Linked DNA regions of Coturnix japonica. The protein of the gene in region 2 interacts with the protein of the main gene of each other region in a pairwise test. Links are inferred from orthologs where the notes say so. Each region holds a gene or a part of one and is shown on either strand. Other genes may lie near its edges. The genes, in order: ARNTL, EPAS1 and ARNTL2.

Region 1 (6,532 bases), on a different chromosome or scaffold from region 2:
ACAAATAGCTGTAAGTTTGAAGGTATTTCTAAGGGAAAAGACAGAAAATAAAAATGAATTCTCTTTTCTTTTTGTAAGGACATCTACAGAAGTAAGAGAAAAGGCAAAAATCTCTGTGGCTGTATCTGATGAAGGGCCTTGCAGTGCTGCTGCAAGCGTTCAAAGATGAAACAATTAGGTAAAGAGTTCCAAAGAGAATTTCATCTTGAACCAGCATGGTGCAGGCATGATGCAAACACAGGGCAGAAGGAGTAGCTTCAGGGTAGGGATGGCTTGCTTACATCAGTTCTTTCACACAGGAGAAAACTGCACTGCTACAGCAGTAGACTGAGAAGATGAATCTTTCAAATGCGACCGCTGCAAACAACACGAAACCCTCAAAGCTCCAAAACTGAAAACCTGTTTTGCTGCAAGGTTACACATCCCCCCCCACACTTAAAAACATGGCTGATTTTAGGCTACTCAGGTGAATTTGCCAACCACAAGTTCTTTCATTCCCTTAAATAAAAGCCCTTGAAATTCCCCAAGTAAAACCACACCAGACAAGACCAGAGTTACTCCCTTTTGTCAAAATGGCAAGAAATGGAGAGTAAAAACACGGACTGTTTTGGGTAAACCCTACTTTATCACCCTCCAACCCCAGTTCTCTCTGCTCCCACTGATCTACTTACCACGTAATGTTTTCATATGCTGGACTGCCATCCTCAGTACAGTGAGTTTATCCAGCTTTCGAGACATAGCGTTGCACGTTGGTACCAAGGATGCCAGTTCATCTATAAAACTGTTCATTTTATCTCTACGCCTTTTTTCAATTTGACTATGAGCCTCCCTGAACAAGCAAGGTGGGAAGGAAAAACAGAAGAGTGTGAGAAAATGAACTGTGTTAACAAAGAAAAATGCCCAAATCCTATATAATAAAAATAATTAGCGTCCTCATAATTCATTCACCCACTCAGCCCCATAAAATGTACATACAGAATTTTTCAGAGAATAATATGCTCATTACTTGAGTGATAGCAGTTACAAGCTACAGGAAGGGCCGCAGTACTTGGCCCTTATTAACCAGAGAACACACACTGTGTTGCTCATACAGTACATTGAATAATGCATTCCACTCCATATTTGTATTAGTATGCTACATCAACACAGCAGTATTTAAAACTAACTTTTGCTGTAGCTGTATGTCTTCTAGTCATCCTACGGCTTTCCTGTTGAAATATCTGAGATAATTTTGAACTAAACTCTCCCTAACTGGGAAAACTGATGCTAACTGCTGAATTATTTTGTTTTTGTTCTGTATTTTCACATCTTAAGAATCGCTATTAACACTCTGTAACTACTGAGTTCGAAAGAATGTAATATTTAAGAAACTTGTGCAGGCTCCAATTTCCATGCTAACGCTGACAGAAGTGACTAAAACAAAGTTATGTTCAGCACTTCCACAAAACTACGTGTAGTTCATATGTGAGAAGAGTTAGCAGTGCAAAGATAACGAAAACGAGTTATTCTCAGAGTAAATCACAGGCAGGTATTTCGTATATGCCAAAAGGCAAACTCTTTTCATGCTTGCTGAGAGCAGTACCTTGCATTTTTTATTCTCCCTTGTTGGTCTGCGTAGTCCAGTCTGTTAAGAAACGATATCACAAAGTTACAGTACTGAAAACAATTTCTAATATATGTTATGAACCTAACGATCTTCATTAAAATAGGTTTTAAGATTTGAATCTTTATTTAGCCTTCCCTCAGAAAATGACATTATTAATAATATTGCGGTAGGACTCAAAGGATATTTGCTTGGACCGTTCGACTTCATGCAATGGTCTTATACCTTTGTCCCAAAACAACTTGAGACACCGGACCAAGGCATTGCAAACAGATCCTACATCAGTACTGTGAAACAGTTTAGGGACCGTGTCTACAGTACCTGCCATGTTGGTCATCTTTATCTGTATCCATACCTTCCCTGCAAAAACAGAATGAAGCGACATATCACAAATTAAGCAGCATTAGCGAGGCTGTTAGCAAACCAGCATAAAACCAGAATTAAGTGTTGCAGTCAGCCTTAAATCCTGGGGAAAAAAAAAAAGAATTTAAAAGCAACAACCTGGAAACACAAGAGCATTTTCTGTAGTATTACAACATTTTCTTGCATTTCTTCTGAAACACACAAAATGGCACAGTTTGATGTGTTTGACAGTAAAACACACTGCAGTTCAAAGACATCATCTGCTATAAAAATGTTTTTCAGTTAACAAGAGGGGTAAAAGCAAAAAGGACTTATCAAAGCAGATCTTTTTCATGCCCTCACCAGAATGAGGGCCACTAACTTGCATTTACTGCAATTAGACATTTAAACACAGGCAATTATCACAAGGCCCACTGCAGAATGCACAGTTCACCCTGAATTCACTCACGTCAGCGTGTCCTAAACCTCACTGTGCCTTGATTTTGGGACAGGAGATGGCAATAATCTATACCAACATAATGCATTGCAGCACTGGAAACAGCCAAATGCACAGGGGGTTTGGGAGTGTGTATAAAGCTAAGCAGGCACATTTTAAAGTGGTGTGCCTGAAAAAAATGCCAAAGATTACAGTGCTGTTAGACAAAAGAATGAGGAAGAGGATGTTTTCATATAGATAAACCTGTACCACTTCACTTACATGGGCACTCCTGAGCCTGCCTTATGCTGGTTTGGTTTTTTTTATCACCACATTTAGGCACAGGGGAGGGGAAACATGGAAAAACATCAAGCATCTTGTTTCAAGTGAAACCGATCACAAAAATATTTATACTTACTCAAAAGGAAAGCCATCGAGTCTGAAAAGAAAGAGAAATAAAGTACACCATCTATATGAAATAATAACGTCTTTCATTTTCTGTTGAAATTCTCAAGCTAATTTACATTCTATTCAAAATGAAAAAGAACAAAGACGTGAGCAGTGAGTATATTTTAAGGAGCCAAGTTTGTTCAAATTCATCTATTTTCTGAAGGCATCATTTTGCCTACAGCTAATCAAGTCCATTACGCTGAATGTGAAAAATCAGTACCACAACTATCCCAAATTATCTCTGCGATGCACATCACTGAGATATTGTTTCGTCAGCAGAAACAAAAGGATCTGCGCTGTGTGCCTGCTGTCCTTGTCCTTGCCTGGAGTTTCAGAGGACTCCAAGGCCAGGAATAAAAGATACCAACATGTATCTTAACCATCTCCATTTTTGATTCTGCCCAGCAGAACAGATGAACGTTTTGTTTCAGTCAGTACTCAAGTCCTGATTCTGAACTTCATACAGATTTTACTGTATCAAAAGGAAACTAAAACGAATTTCTACATGCAATTAACTGCTGGCATCACTTCAAGTCTGTAAAACGATCACAAATACCACTGAGCTTTAATATAGCGAGAAGCTAGGTTTCATTAAAGCCTTATGAAGGATCTTCTCACGTTAGCCACTGATGTATTACTTATTCCCACTCAAAACTGGACATTAGCATCCTTAAGCATTTTTCTATACATTATTCATCGCACCTCTTAATCTCTTCGTCATTAGGTTTTAAAGAAGTGTGAATAATGCTAAAGGCATTCTTCATCTCTCCGCTTGTATATTTGAGTTACTGACTTAGATTATAGTTCAAAGTGCTTCTGATGCTCACAAAGAAACAGAGGACTTTAGTAACAGAAATGAGGCATCAATTCTCCACTCCTAGTGCCACCTTTAGCTACAAGATGCTTGTTGTGGCACAGCAAAATATGAAAGAGGTTTCTACACCAGCAACAGGGTAATTTACAAATGCTTCAGGATACTTTCATTTCTTATCGGTACTATTTCAACTTAAAATACTACTACCAACAAAAGAAGGTAGCATGTGCTTATAGATCTGTGCATGAAGTCCTGCATTCCAGCACATGACTTAAACACACTGAAGTAGAGAACAGATCGCCTTAGCTGGAATTACAGCAGTATGCTGAAGAGGAATTTCACTGGGAGAGTAGCAGCAGAAAGATTTGAAAGGAAGCTGGCATGGAAAGCTGAAATTGTTGTTGACCAATAAGCTTGTTTGTACTTGACAGATGAACACACACTAAAACAGTCAGGCTGTTCCTCACGTCCTGAATTCACTGATAAATGAAGCATAGCACTGGATAGACACCATTTATGTTAAAACAAATATCTGCATAGGCAGCAAAAGTTGAACAGGAGCGATTCTTGAATGTTTATACATACATACACATAGAAAGAGGGATCAAGGAATTCTACCTTAAGTTCTACTTAGGAATAGGAATGTTCACTAATAACCATTTTCTTTGCAACAAAGTCTCTGGTACAATGACAGCTGTTATAAGCTGACTCGAGGAAACAGCATTTCACATATTTAATAAAATGCCCACACAACCTAGAGGGCAGAATTGGAACTTAAAAGAGCAAGCTGTCTTTGGGGAAAAAGGACTTGAGCAATGCTTCCTGCTCGCAAGTATAAAGATGGAGAAATCCTTTCTAGAGAAGAGGAAGTTGGTAAGATTGAGGCTTTTCACTGAATTTTGTAGGAGTCAATTCAACTAGAGGGAATCATGGACTTTTCAAGAAGGCTACACCTATTATATTTATAAACTTATTTTTATTACATTACAGAAGCTATGTATGCAGCACACTCGTGGTCTGTACACGGTAATTAGTTTTGCACCTAACTTCTCCTAAAAATAATCTCAATGCACAGGGAACCTAATTCTTAATTGGCATCCTCAGCACAGATCAATGGAGAAGGAACTGCCAACAGTGAGAAAGTCCACAATGATAAAATCTGTGCCAAGTTACATAGAAACGGATTACGTAGCTGTGTTAATAATGGATGGGGCCTATCCACAGGCTTCCCTGCAGCTAGGCTTTGTAGTTACAACTGATATGAAGTTTGCGTAGTCACTGACAGTAAGCATGTTGGTCTTGGTGTAGAGCTGAAGACACTGCACAGCTGGAAACGTGGCACACATTACTGCAGCTTTCACCATTCTAAAGCACAGTTGGTGTGATTTCTTTCTGCTCCAAATGCCTGCCCTAAGACAGAAGGTATGGCTTGGATGGTGCTTCCAAGCTTTGTTACTAGCAAGCACCCCTTTAAGAGAAGCAGCTTTCTTGAAATGAAAACTTGCTACCACTGATCCACGAGAAACCAACTTTTTATTCTACCAGGAATAATGGTTTGCAGCCAGAGAGCAACACAAGACTAAATCACTTGATGCAACAAAAGGCAGTCCTACTGCAGCACACCAGAGACTCCTCAGACTCATATTCAACTGGGAGACCAAAATAGCTCCATCAGACAAAGTTTGGCAGCACACTGATAGGAAATGACTGAAAAGGCAAAAAATAGGTGAAAAGAAGGAACTATTCCTAGTTTTGCTTCTCCTTTCTAATTAATTATTAGCTTCCCTCCTGCTGGTCAGACATTCAGCTTCCTATGTGTACGGTCAACATAATCAACTTCACATCATCTATTACATCAATATTCAGTTCTTTTTTTTCCCCCTCATTAGCCAAAGGTTTCTTTCCTGAGCCTTACCTCGTTCGATAGCCCTCAATTCCAGCTGCACTGAGATGGAGGCCTTATTACTAACTAATGAACTCTCCTTTTAGTGCACAGTAGCATTTTTCTTTCATACAATCTTTAAACAACTGGTTGTCAAGAAAAGGTTATTAAGGTTATTTCATCTCTCTAACTATATCATTCTGTTGCCAACTGCCTTTCAACATTATCAAATCGACTGAAATCCAACTCACTGATAATCAGTAGAACTTCCCTTCCTTTTCCGATTACAATCCACTCCTGAAGTGCTAAGGGAACTGGAAATCAAGTCAGCAGGGTCTGGTGACATAAAGTCACTAATTGTAGAAGAAATGTCCATCCTTTGGTCTGCCATTGGATTGTCTAATGTTACAAAAAAAGAAAAAAAAAGGAATAAAAAGTCACTCTATTAATAAACATCAATTTATATATTTTAAATGCACATATGCATACACACACAGAGCAGCTTTAATTATTAAATGTATTAAATACACTTAAAATTGCAAAAATTACAATTCTGTTATCTGCTTTTGCTATAAACAGACACGGGCTATTGCTCTTTCTTTCAGCAGTACTACACATCCCACATGAGCTACAGAATCACAGAATCATAATGGGTTGGAAGGGATCCCCAGAGATCATTTAGTCCAATTTCCCCCTACTAAAGCAGGTTCCCCAGAGGAGGTTACTTAGAAAAGCATTCAGGCAGGTTTTTAATATCTCCAGAGAAGCAGAAGACTCCACAAGCTCTCTGGGCAGCATGTGCCAGTGCTCTGTCACCTCCAAAGTATAGAAGTTCCCTCTCAGGCTCATGGAACCTCCTGTGCTCCAGGCTGAACAGTCCCAGATGTCTCAGCCTTTCCTCAAAAGGGACATGGATTTCTCCAGGCCCCTAAGCATCCCTGCAGCCCTCCACTGGACTCCCTCCAGAAGTTCCATGTCTTTCTTCAACTGGAAAGCAAAGAAATG
Region 2 (6,532 bases):
CATATATCACAAATGTATGTGTTTAATGTGAAACTTTTAATAGCCAAATTAATTTTTTATTTTGTGTAACACGCATTTGACTCTTGGTTTAACATTCTCTTACTTTTGTGTTAAAAGCTTTATTCTCATGGAATCTGTAGTGGAACTAAATGCCAACATTTTTCAGCCCCTGTATTTGGTAACTCTTACCTGACACTTTATGAGCTGACTGCACAGTATAGTCCTGATAATGGGGACTGTAAAACTGAGGGGAAAACGCTCCTGCTTTCAGATTTTCACCAGGACTGCCACAGGTGGGTTGCTGCTGTTGCTGCTGCAGCTGCAGTTGATTCATTGGTTGGCTCAGACCTCTCGAGTTGCAGACAAACTCATCTGATTCATACAGGAGAAAACAAAAAAATCAAGCCATTGTAATTGTTATAGAAGCTAATACTAATTTGAAGCAAATTGTTCCTCAGTGTGACGATGAATCTATGTAGGCATATCTAAATTCAGTACTACCTGCAAGTTGTGTTGTACTAAAGATATTTTTGAATAATGAAAAACAGTGCTGTAGAAAGAAAGCATCTGTTCTAGCTTTAAATGCCCACACATTGGATCAGCGCTAGGTAAACCTACCTCTATTAAACTGATCCCTATTTACCTCCCAAGTAAGGGTATGGACATATATGAAACAATCTACTTGGCAGCTATCAAACATACTATAAATTGTTCAACTGTAAGCTATATGGGAGATGGAGTTCAAAGTAGCTTAACACTGCAGAACCAATTTCTTTTCTCTTACCAGTAAGAACACTTGTGCTGAGAGACTTCTTCTCCGTAAGCAAGGAACAGTTTTCCCCTTTGAGAAATTTCATTCTCTTCCACATTAACTGAGATGGGTTAATGGCAGATGGGTCTCCCTACAGTTTGGAGAAAAGCAAAATGAATTGATTACACTGATGATCTTGGTACATCCACAATTCTGAAATGGATGCATTTTCTTATGATTACCCCAGTCAGCTGTTGCATTGCCTGCTCTTCATAATCCAACTGTCGCTTCAGCTTCAAACTATTAGACAAAGCAATTCTTGCTGGGTTTATATCTATGCCTCGTTGCCCCAAACCATCCAGCAGCCTGTTGAAAAAAGATCTCTGGGTGAGCAAGAAGGCAAATCTAAACCATCTTTTTCATTTATACAGATTCTTCTTTCGTCTATTTCATTTAAGAGGCCTTTAGACACGTGACACTGTATGTTGAATGTCTTTGTTTCCTTTTGTTAGTCATCCCACATGCTTTGGGAACACTTTACTTTGGGGATCAAAGACTAGCATAAGTAGCCTCTAAAATCTCCAGCCAAGCGTAAAAATAATATGGAAAAGAGTCATGAGATTTTTAATCTTAGGATTCTGAAAGCTATGCCTGTCTCCTTGCTAAGCACAAACACGAGTTGTATGTATTCAAGATATCTACTGCTTTCTGCTCAAATATTTTCCAATGGAAAACATAAATTCTTACCTTTTTTTATATACGGGCATGTTGGGAGAATGTATTGGGGGTCCTGAGGGGGAACTTGATAGGGTTCCTGAGTATTTATCCATGAGTCTCCATTTAGCAGGAACATATTCTAACGGTGGATCAGGTGGCCACTGGGTGTTTGGTCTACCCCCCATCGAAGACAGCGGAGTGCTGGCTTGGTTGTGGTATGGTGGCAACGATGACCTACTCATATTGTTGAAGAACACAGATGATAGGGACCCATGACCAGGGTTAATGTTTTTATTTGATAGCTGTGGGCAATATTTCTCTGGGAGGAACTGATTCTGTGAAGCAGAAGCAACAGGTTGGAAAATGGTACTCATGCTACTTAGATTCTGCTGGGTATTTTGTGCACTTTCAGAGTGAGGACGCTCTTCTTGGCAGATAGGGCTGAGCTGGAAATCTTCTCCATCCATAGGAATGTAAGGAGCCAAGGTTTCAAGGTCCAGTTCATTGAAATCAGTCTGCACAAAAATGAAAGAGGTTCATGAGAAACCTGAAAGTTAATGATAGTTGAGGCACTGTGATGTGAAATACTAGTTGGGAGTTAGTTATGAAGCTAAAAAAAAAAATCACTGTATGCCAAATTTATGTGAATGAAAGCGGTCAGCTTCTCCATATTAAAATAAAAAATAACAAAACATTATTGCTATGAGTTGTACATATGTTGTACTCATTTTGGCTCAGATAGAGTTAATCTTATTCACAGTAGATCATACGCTATTATATTTTGGACTTGTGATCAACGTGTTAGCTATTGCTTACAAAGAGCCAAGCCTTTCTCTGTTCCTCACCTTGCCCCACCAGTGGAATATGCTGGTGGTGCACAAGAAGTTGGGAGGGAGCACAGTTAGGTCAGCTGACCCCAGATGACCAAAAGGACATCCCATACCACATGATATTACACTAAGCAATAAGAGGCGGGGGAAAGAAGGAGAATCTGCGAGGCATTCACAGTTACAGTGTTTGTGTTCCCAAGAAACTGCTACACGTGATGGAGCACTAAACAGTGCTGGAAATGGCTGAACATCTGCCTGCCAATGAGAAGTAGTGAATGAATTCCTTATTTTGCTTTGCTTGCATGTGTAGCTTTTGCTTTTGCAGACTAAGCTGTCTTTATCTCAACTGGAGAGTTTGCACAATTTTACCCTTCTAATTCTCTTGCTTGTCCTACTGGAGGGATTGAGCAAGTGGCTGCATGGGTCTACCTGTCTTGTGGCATTAACTGACAACATTTTTCATTTTGAGGTTTTACAGGAGTTAATTTATTTGTGTTTTGTTCTAGAAACAACATTTACTCATTAGTCATCACGGCAAGATATTAAAAAAACAGGCAGTTGCTTATATCCCTTATCCGGTCTACAGAAGCTCCCAGTTTCTGAAGCTCTGCTTCTTTCTTTTCTGCACTGCCACAGTGACACCTCCAAGGTAACTGCTTCAAATCATTAGGGAAAGAAGTGGACACCTCAGCTTTTCAAAGCATATGCTTGTGTTTGATGGTTTTGGTGTGCATGTTATGACACTGTATCTGCATGAATCTCTATTATTGTCTGCTAACGGAGGGCCAATTTTCATGGTTTTGGGAGAGATATTAGCTTCTTACTTACCTGGGAGTTGCACTGACTTTTTGATTCTGTGTCCATGGCAAAGAGTTTTTCAATCACCTCAATCTTAAGATCGTCATCCACAGAAGTGTAGTAATCCTCTGGACTGTTTGGCTGCACAGAAATAACAATTGGCTATAAGCAGCCAAGACAACTACAGTGCTGGCTTAGCACACTTAACTACATTTCTGTCACATAATTTCCTCCACCATCAGATTACTTGTCTCTACAAACATTGAGAGCCATAGTGATTTAACACAGGCATCCAATACAATAACTTAGTTGCCCCGTTAAATGTTTTTTTTTTGTTTGTTTGTTTTTTGTTTTTTTTTGGCACATCACACTAATAACATGACAGAATAATTGAATAGTACACATCTAAAGAAATAAAATGCTTTGCACTACGTCAGTGATTTTAATAAAATTGGACATAAAATTGTTTCAAGTTAGAAGGGACTGCTAAAAGCCCTGCAATGAACAGAGCTACAGCAAGATTGGGTTTTTCAGAGCCTGCTCCAACTTGACCTTGAATGTTTCCAAAATCCAGTAGAGTCCTAACCTAGTAAGTAATCTAGTAAAGTTCTGATAATAGTGGCTCTAGCTCATGAGGGCAGTGCCCTGGAAAGCTCACTCATTCTTTTAGCAGTAAACTCTGTGAAGCTACACTCAAAAGCCTGAGCTGGGTAAACTTTTTTGTTGAAGACTATAGTTTCTAGTAAACAAACAGAAAGAGGACTGGCCTGAGGGCAATTCTGCTAATGACCAGACCATTTAATATTGGAGTTTCACTTAAGGTTAGTTCCATGTAAGACGGTAGCAAGTTCAGCTACTAGCTTGTTTATAGACTATCATAATTGCTTAGTGAGATGGAGGAAAACAAGGAATGCAATATAAAGGCAAGATATAGCTTCCTTCTGACATTTTTTCTATCAGGGCTTTCCTACACAAACAGCATAGGATAAAAATACACAATACAGTAGGGATATAGATGTGCTGGGCTTGTTACAAACACTGAGACAGGAGTGCTAAAGTGAGAATGTCATCTTCATGTTCTGATGGGACTTACAAAGAGAACATCACTTTCGCATTATTTAAAGCTTTTCTTACCGTGGAACAGCTACTGTTGCTGCTTGCACTTGGAGTACTGTTGCCAGGTGGAATCTGAGGCATTGTAAAGGATGGCATTGTCAGCGTTTCACCTTGAGCAGCATGGCTTTTCACTTCTACTGGCCACGGTTTGTTTGGTGTCAAAACAGCACTGGTATAGTCAGGGGGTTCCTCAAACTTCTGTATCCCTGGATGGAGTTCTAACAATGTTAATAGTACAACATTAATGGATGCTTTTAGCTTGTGCCCTGTTATGATATAATTAAAGCTATTTATTAAAAGTAAACTCTGATCCTAGTTGCCATAACAATAAGTAAGTTTGCAAAGACTTTATCTTGTTTAGTCAGCAAAAAAGCCTGATTCTGCCTTCATTCACAGAAATTTTCCGCTGATGTGAGCACATGAGCTCCTATGACTGTTACTCCTCATTTATACACACAGCAAACAGACCTGGTCTATTAAGTTTCTAAACATAGGCTCATATGTGGTTCTTTGTTGCACAGAAATTATTTACACAAATACTAACCAAAATCCAGGGAAATAATGGCATCTCCAGGTGTTGGAGCCAGCTGTGCAAGTTCCTCCGGTTCTTCTTTTAGCTTAGTAAATAATAAGTCACTCTTATCCCTCCCTGAGATCCCATTCTCAAAGGCACTGCTCATCGTCAACAGGTGAGGCTTGAAGAGCGATTCCGTTTGGTCCATAGAGAAGACAACATCATTCTTCTCAATTTCACTAAGTAAGAAGAAGAAAGAGTTTAGGTTTTTAGCACCATAAAGGAAGATGTGGTAAAGACAGGTATTATAACTCTCGAAAGATTGCTCTAACAGTATTTTGGTCTCTCTCAGTTGAATGCCAGGCTCTTGACAAGAAAGGCACAGTTCCAGTGTTGCTGAGCACCACAATCTCAGATGACGTGGAGAGTGTGGTCAAGACTTCTGTGAGAGTACTTAGGGCTTTGTTGCTCTGGTTTTCAAAGGGATGTAGTCAGGGCTACAATGACCCAGACTATCACTCAAATAAGTATTTTATTTAGGACTCATCCAGGACCAAAAATACATGAGCTTTTCAGGACAGAGATTGATCTGTGGTTCCGATTTTTGAGAAAGAAAATGGCTTTTCCTAGCAACACAAATACACTTACTACCAATTTTTCCTTCTGTCACAATACTAGAAAAATAAAATGCATTCAGTAGTTGTGTTACACAACAAAATCTTTAGTGCAGCCCTTGTGTTCTGCTTCACCAGCAGAGCAGTTGCTCTGTAGAAGAAAAAGGCTATGGTGTAATTCAACAGCTTGTATGGGAACGGGCATGCCACATTCTTCATCAATGTCTAACATCAGTAAACAAGATTGAACAAACATGACTAAACTGATTCCAGCATAGCAGCACTGGATAAATAGACCCTTCAAAAATATTTCTCATCCTTGCATTTTTTCCAGCACAAGGACTCAGAAGTGTTTTTTCTGTTCTGCACAACTTACCTCAGCACATAGTTGACACAGATGATACACTGAGGCTGTAGGTTGCGCGTGTTGTAAATGACGGTCCCTTGAGTTTCCAGCCACACGTATCCACCATGCTTGGCAAGCATACGGTACTGGCCAGTCACTACTTGACCTTTTGTACACACTAAGAAACAGGAGCAGAGAGATAAAAATGAGGTAGCAGCACAAGTAAGAATGCATAATACGTAACACTTGTTTAAATACATCCGCTCCCAACTTTTCTTTATGCAAAACTGCATGAAAACATTTGTAAACAGTGATCACAGAATGGCTTCGGTAGGAAGGGATCTTAAAGATCCATTTAGAACCAGTCCCCTGCCATCAGCAGGATGGCCAGTGATGCTCAACTTCTAGAAAAAAATCAGCTATTTTCAATATAAATAAGTCTGTGAAGCTGAGCTCTCCACTCAAGACACCTGGCATTTGAAGCCTTTAGATTGTCTTGAGTATTTGGATCAATGCATGAGGTTTTTTGAATTTAATACAAAATTCTAATTACCCTAAAAGTAAAGTCTGCTGACTGCATATTTCTTGAAAGTTCCTGTTCCAGTAGAATTGCTCTCAATTTACATTCCCAAATTGATATAGGAAATTATTCAATAGTCTCCCTAATTTAGGTGGTGGATAAAACCAAGGTAGATGATTTAAGAGCAATACCCACAGTAAAGTAATTCTTGTGCTTTAATTTCATACCTCTCTCTTTTCTGTGCCTAGAGTTAGGAGCTGAAGGCATCAGCAACACAAATAAAGTGAAAGGAGCCTTAGCACAATATTTGTTTTAAGTGGCTGAAG
Region 3 (6,532 bases), on a different chromosome or scaffold from region 2:
GAAAAAAAAAAAAAAAAAAAGGTTGCCCACTTCTTTGAGAGTTCCTTCCTGTTTCAAAAGATGATAGTAGTGCTTACTGTAGTGCAGCAGACCAGCTTTGGTCAGCAGAATAAGCAGGTTGAAAGGATCCCAGCTGAGGAGATCCCTGTAAAAATCTTCAACTAAGAAATGCAGAGGTAGAAGCTCTGTGCAGCTTCCAATCAACTCCTGATTAGCAATGCTCTTTTGTCCAACTAAATGAGAGCTCAGAGTCATAGGTAGCATTAATTTCTTTCTATTTCTTCCCTTGGCACACCATCCCCAAAATAATCTGTGCACATAAGCTTCAGGATCAGGAATCATGTTAAGTAAACATACAAAAAAAAAAAAAAACAACCCACCTTTCTTTTTTACAACACTCAATCTTCTTGAATATGCAACTAAATAGTTTTGTTTTTTCAAAGGGAAGTTACAGCTTGTATATTTTGCTACCCTCTTTTGATAAAAATAATGTTAAGTAATGGAGAAATAAATGCAAACTGATATATAAAAGTTCATAGTAACTGTGATGTTTTACAAGGTGTTTTTTGTTTTTCAGTAGTGCAGAATGTTGTTTTTCTGAGGTCTGTAATATGAAGTGTCCTGTCCTAAAACAGTGGGGTTCTTTTTTTCTTTTTTTAAATAGACCAGTTTAATTGGACAAAGTTTGTTTGATTACTTGCATCCAAAAGATGTTGCCAAAGTTAAGGAACAACTTTCATCTTCAGATGTCTCTCCCAGAGAAAAGCTTGTAGATGGCAAAAGTAAGTCATATTTGAATGCACTCAAATTTCTTTATTTTTTTAAGATATGTTAATAAAGTCAGTTCTTATGTAGGAAATAATTGTGTGCATGGATGTACAAGCTTGAAATACAATTTACATGAAAAAACATGTTTCAGTGCTTATCCGCTGCTTATAATTCATTGCAGTTCAACAGAAAAAAAACTTATTGTAGGCAATAAGTGTGATTGAATTTAGCATTGTTGAACATTTACCAAGTTGTAGTCTGACATTCTTCCTTCCAGGCATACTACTTTTTTTTCTAGTATTTTATAGGTCTTGTCATTACAAAAGACCTGATGTAGTTGAACATGGGATAAAATACTTCAGTATCAAGAATCACTGACTTCTCTGAAAATGCTGTCAATCCTAATTTAACCAAATCTATTTACAGTTATTTCTGATATGAAAAGCATTTTGTACTCTGCAGCTAATAACTGTCTTATAGCTGGCTTTTATAGGCATCTTTGCACTTCCTCTATGTACCAAATAGAAGTTGAAAGTTGATAAAGTGTATTTATTAAAGTATGATTCAAAATGTTAAATACAGCTTAAATTCAGTTTTGTAGTTCTTTTTAAATTTGGAGTCTGTGCAGCAGCCACATTTTCTTTGCCTTGTTTAAAGTTATTAGATGTTTTTTCTTTTGTAATTATAAGGACAACATTTAGGTAACTAAACAGTAAGGAGAATATATGAGAAACTGAAGATAAGGCCTTGGGCTCAGCAGTTTTATTCTTGGATTTTTTTTGTTTTCATTAACTACTTTACTAAATTTTTATAAGCTGGCTTGCAAGTACATACAGATTTTCAAGCTGGACCAGCTCGACTGAATTCTGGTGCTCGACGATCCTTCTTCTGTCGGATAAAATGTAGTAGGACCACAGTCAAAGAAGAGAAGGAGTGCTTACCCAATCCAAAGAAGAAAGGTATTCAAACAGTGTAGCTGAAATGGGGGCTTTCTGTCTTGAAATTCAGTATATTTAAGTTCCAAGCCAGTAGTGTGATCCTTGTAATTATCGCTGATTTCACGTAATAGCTGTAGAGAAGTGTAAATATGTACTGCAGGCGTGTTCTGAAAAACAGTCTAATTGTCCTTTTCTCCTCCCTATTCACTCCTGAGAAGAGGAAGGGAGGAAGGAACCTGGGTTGCATTGTTGGTTTAGGAGACACGGTCTGTTCTAGTCAAATTTTTGAAAGCACTGGAGCAGATCAGAAGAGTTAAGATAAATAACATATGTCTTGAAGATAACTATATGAATAAGGCCTGCAAAGTCTGCTGTTTTGGAGGAAAAAAAGCAAGTAAAATCTTTATCTGATTTACGTTTTGTATTGTGTGTACTTACGAATTATACCTTTCCATTTTTGCATTTTTTTAATAGTAAAGTTAATTTATCAGTGTAATATCAGTGTTTCTCCAATGTCTTTAATTTAGTCCGTAGTTTTAATTTAGTTTGGTATACCTGTAGAGCAGTATATTCTTGGCAAGTTTTCTTTCTGATCTTGAAAGAATCTTCCTTCTTTTTTATTTTAATTTAACCTGCTGCTGTTGAGATACATCATAAAAGAACACATTCTAAAATGGGTCTGTCATTGTAAGTCAGAAGAATTCTGTCCATCTCCCTTGATGTGTCAGCTAACTTGGTGAGAGTAGAATTTATCTCTTACAAACGTGCTTTCAGGCAAGCAGCATTCAGAGAGATCGCATTAAAAGTTTGGGAAACTAGCAGTTTCAGAAGGGTAACTCAATTTTTCATTTGACAGGGTTGATTGATATTTTCCATAGTTGAGAGTTAATGCAGTCAAATCTATGTCAATCATACTTTGGTAAAATAAGATTGCTTTGCCAGTTTGGGGGGAAGACAGTAACTGTAGGATACATAATCTCTGTATGTTGAGGTTAGTGGGATATTGTATAAGTAAGTTTCTACCAGTCATAGAAAGGGATTATCGCGTATGCTTAAATTAAATGTTCTTTAATATTTATGTTCCTGTAAAAATTGAGGAATTCAGAAGTCTGAGATAAGTGGAAAGTAATTTGGGTTATTTTGGGGTGCTCTCTTCATGGATTCTTTTAGTAATTGCAGCAAAAATATGTAGAATCATAGTGTTCACTTAAGATAAACATTCTGTAGCTTCCAAATCAATTTATTTAGTTTATTGTGATTTACAACACATAAGGAAACATGTAAAGGAGAAACAGTGGGTTACTAAGCTGTTGTTCTATTGTTGGTTTTGGTTTTTTTTCCCTTTGATACTACACTGTCAATGCCTATAATTTATCTTCCCAAGTCTTACATAGGGTTAGGAGCACTCTCTTCAGGTAAGCCAAAATTAAGTAGTAAAAATTTACTTCAAAAGCACGCTGTGACATTATCCATAGCCTTTTACAGTTGTAGTAAGTATGCATAAAATAGGATTGTTGGTCTTATGGTGAAAGATTTTTTTAATTACATTTTGAACCATAATTGCTTATTTTATTTCTTTTTATTAGATCACAGAAAGTATTGTACCATTCACTGTACTGGATATATGAAGAACTGGCCTCCTAGCGAGGTGGGAGTAGAAGAGGAAAATGATGTAGAAAAGAACAGTAGTAATTTTAACTGTCTTGTTGCAATTGGGAGGTTACACCCTTACATTGTTCCACAAAAGAGTGGAGAGATAAAAGTCAAAGCAACAGAATTTGTAACACGATTTGCCATGGATGGAAAATTTGTTTATGTAGATCAGCGGTAAGTTTTCTTCTTTAACGAAGAGAAAACGACATGACTTGGTTAGGTCTTGTGAACTTTTCTGACTGAAGGGACTGCAATTTTTTTAAGCATGTTAGGATTTCGGGATGCTGAAGAGCTGTGTCATGAATCTGAGTCCTTGGACTTCATTCTGTTAAAAATAAAATATAATTTATGTAGCAAAATAAGTGTATTGTCCTTTAGGAAAGTGTAGGTTCGCAAGATGAAAATGCATCATAGGATACTCTTGTATACTATATATTAACACAATAAAAAATTTTGAGTTAGAGTAGCATAGCTATACATGTGACTTATTTGTTTATAAGTTATGCTGACAGAGAAAAAAAAAATAATAAGCCCTTCACAAAAAAATGACTGCTTATTTATATCTTAGTATTTGGAGCAAATACATTTTATCTCATCTCATATCTAAAAGTGTCGGTTCAAACTTATTCCTTAGAGCAAAATTTAACTATTATTTTTTTCAAATGACTCATTAAGTGGGTTTGGTACTTTGATTGCCTAATTGGAAGAGCTAATAATCATATGTACTTTGTGTTCATTTAAATTGTGCATACAAATGGTTTGCATTTTCAAACACTGTTATTCTGTGTTTGAATTGATACTCTTACACAGTTTTGTTATCCTGTATTATACATTGCAAACAGATCCAAGGTAAACTGCAGTCTATATTTGCTATTATTTTAGAGCTATCCTAACGCTGTATCTTTTCTTAAATGTGAAAGTAAGCATCTATTTTATTAAATATTCATTTTTTGCTTCACCTGATACTGAAGAAAACTAGCTTTGCAATTGTCTGAATCCACCGCTGTTCATCTTTTTATTTCTAACAGTGCAACAGCAATTTTAGGGTATCTGCCACAAGAGCTTCTAGGAACTTCTTGTTACGAGTACTGTCATCAAGACGATCACAATCATCTAGCTGAGAAACATAAAGAAGGTACAAAACGATTGGTTCTCCCAGGCTATATAAAATTAGAAGCTGGGAAATAACGAAGTTAAACAGTGTTAGCATTGTCCCTTTCCATGTATGCATTAAGACATGCCCTCAGAAAGTGTGTAAGAAAACCAGGGGGTTTCTTGTCTGTTGTGACGAATCTTGTCAAGGCAATCTTCGGTTGTCTTGGGTCTTGGTGCAGTGCTGGGCAATAATGCTTCTTTTGACCCCATGCCTCAGTTCTTCTTTATAAGAATAAAGGAGTCCTGAAGAGCAAATGTGCCTAAAAAGACACTGTTGATGAAACTTCACCAAATCAGGGGTCTTCCTGTTAGTTGTCTGCAGAAACTTAGTGCATGGGCTCTCATTTGAGATTAGTAGCATTGTTAAAACAGTAGTTAAATTTCATAGAAGTCTTACCTTGAATATTTTTCTGGCACTTAATTAGAATATCTGATCATCAGAAACATTTTGTTTTTATGGTACCACAAAACAGATATTTTTAGCTCAACTCTGTCCTTGGAAGTATGAATATAGTGATTGTAATTCCTCTTTCTTATCTAGTGTTGCAGAATAAAGAAAAAGTATTCACAAATTCCTACAAATTTAGAGCAAAAGATGGAAGTTTTATTACTTTAAAGAGTCAATGGTTTAGTTTCATGAATCCGTGGACCAAGGAACTGGAGTACATTGTATCAAACAACACTGTAGTATTGTAAGTAATTCATTATATGATTACCCGTGTTAGTTTTTGTCTTAATTACAGAAAAGAACCTCTTTAAGAAGCAGAACATGATTAGAAAATACCAACAGTGCATAAAGAGGTTGAGTAATATGGAAGAACATATTGCATTTGATTTGCACCAGTTGATTTTGATTTCAGGCTCAGGTAATGGATTTAACTATGAACAATGCAATTTACTAGTTGAAAATTAGATGAAAGAATTTCTTATTACAGGAAGAAAGATCTTTTAGGAAAAAAGGCACAAGTAAATGGAAAGTGATGGGTTTTTTTTTGTTTGGTTGGTTTCTTCCTTCAGAGCTTCTAAGTCTGCATGTATTAGAATAAGGAGAAGTATAACTGATAGATCATAGGAAATATAAGGCAGAACAAAAAGATACTCTCTAAATTGATTGCAAGGCAGCTGCCCACAAGACAGCAACTGAACTGTTGGAGTGTGTGTTTCATTCTTATTTTGTTACATTTTATTCCTTGTGCCTTGTAATTGAACGATAATTTGGATTGTTCCAAAGATACTGAACATTTTTCTCAACAACAGTGGTTTTTGGAGGGGGAGGAACGTGATTTTATTTCCACTAGACAAAGTGGCCTTTACCCGTTCTGTAGTTGGTTCATATCTTAAGCCAACATCACCTGTCTATTTTGCCCTTGTCCTTTTTCCCCAACAAGACAAAGAAGAGCAGTTAAAGCAGTCTGTGCTGCCAACAGCCAAAGGCCACTTTTGCCTGCCCTGGAGGTCCAGGTGTTGGGGTACTAAGCTTTCTTTGTAAGGATTTATGAGTGCATACAGTAGTTCTGAGTAGATGGAGTGTTCTAGAATAGCTGAGTTAGGCCTGTAGGTTAAGAGTTAGTGGGCGAGCGGTTTAGGTAGGTGTGTGTACAGGTTGTCTCGCGTGCATCGGGTTTTGCGTAGCGAGTGTACGCATCTGCGTGGGATTTAGGATAGTATATAAGGTGTGTGACGCAGCAATAAATTGAGAGAAGACATCATGGCGTCCATGTTTGTGTCTCTCCCCCAGACAGTTGAGGTCCCGGGATAGGTCTGGTTAATTGGCGGATACGTCAGTCCAGGCATCTGCAGCTAGAGGAGGGGAGGTAGGCAGCAGCTGCTAGTAGAAAGTAGCTGCTGATCTTTTCTATTAGCAGTTGTTTCTGATTAATGGCTCTCCCTCCTATAAGTAGATATGATAGTCTTGTTCTTGTTAGGAAACACAGATGACTATATTGGCCTTAGTTATTGATTTTGGGAATAAGTGTAAATGAGTATTTTACTCCATGCTTCAGAAATAAAAGTAGAAA

Evidence for each region.
Region 1: the proteins of EPAS1 (region 2) and ARNTL interact in binary tests that used the Homo sapiens proteins (3 or more experiments, as listed by UniProt). The link is inferred for Coturnix japonica from reciprocal best matches to the Homo sapiens genes EPAS1 and BMAL1.
Region 3: the proteins of EPAS1 (region 2) and ARNTL2 interact in binary tests that used the Homo sapiens proteins (3 or more experiments, as listed by UniProt). The link is inferred for Coturnix japonica from reciprocal best matches to the Homo sapiens genes EPAS1 and BMAL2.

The regions. Positions count from the first base shown.
Region 1 is NC_029520.1:11,893,849-11,900,380, forward strand, and holds part of ARNTL (aryl hydrocarbon receptor nuclear translocator-like protein 1), read right to left. Parts: intron 5,927-6,532; 5' UTR 5,919-5,926; coding exon 5,779-5,918; intron 2,821-5,778; coding exon 2,800-2,820; intron 1,964-2,799; coding exon 1,925-1,963; intron 1,625-1,924; coding exon 1,583-1,624; intron 830-1,582; coding exon 672-829; intron 1-671. UniProt on the Homo sapiens protein: Transcriptional activator which forms a core component of the circadian clock.
Region 2 is NC_029518.1:23,770,251-23,776,782, reverse strand, and holds part of EPAS1 (endothelial PAS domain-containing protein 1), read right to left. Parts: exon of another isoform or gene 6,455-6,532; intron 5,865-6,454; coding exon 5,717-5,864; intron 4,966-5,716; coding exon 4,757-4,965; intron 4,431-4,756; coding exon 4,231-4,430; intron 3,238-4,230; coding exon 3,127-3,237; intron 2,948-3,126; exon of another isoform or gene 2,805-2,947; intron 1,984-2,804; coding exon 1,499-1,983; intron 1,118-1,498; coding exon 994-1,117; intron 903-993; coding exon 785-902; intron 373-784; coding exon 190-372; intron 1-189.
Region 3 is NC_029516.1:62,643,959-62,650,490, forward strand, and holds part of ARNTL2 (aryl hydrocarbon receptor nuclear translocator-like protein 2), read left to right. Parts: intron 1-664; coding exon 665-782; intron 783-1,583; coding exon 1,584-1,727; intron 1,728-3,292; coding exon 3,293-3,533; intron 3,534-4,387; coding exon 4,388-4,494; intron 4,495-5,055; coding exon 5,056-5,206; intron 5,207-6,532. UniProt on the Homo sapiens protein: Transcriptional activator which forms a core component of the circadian clock.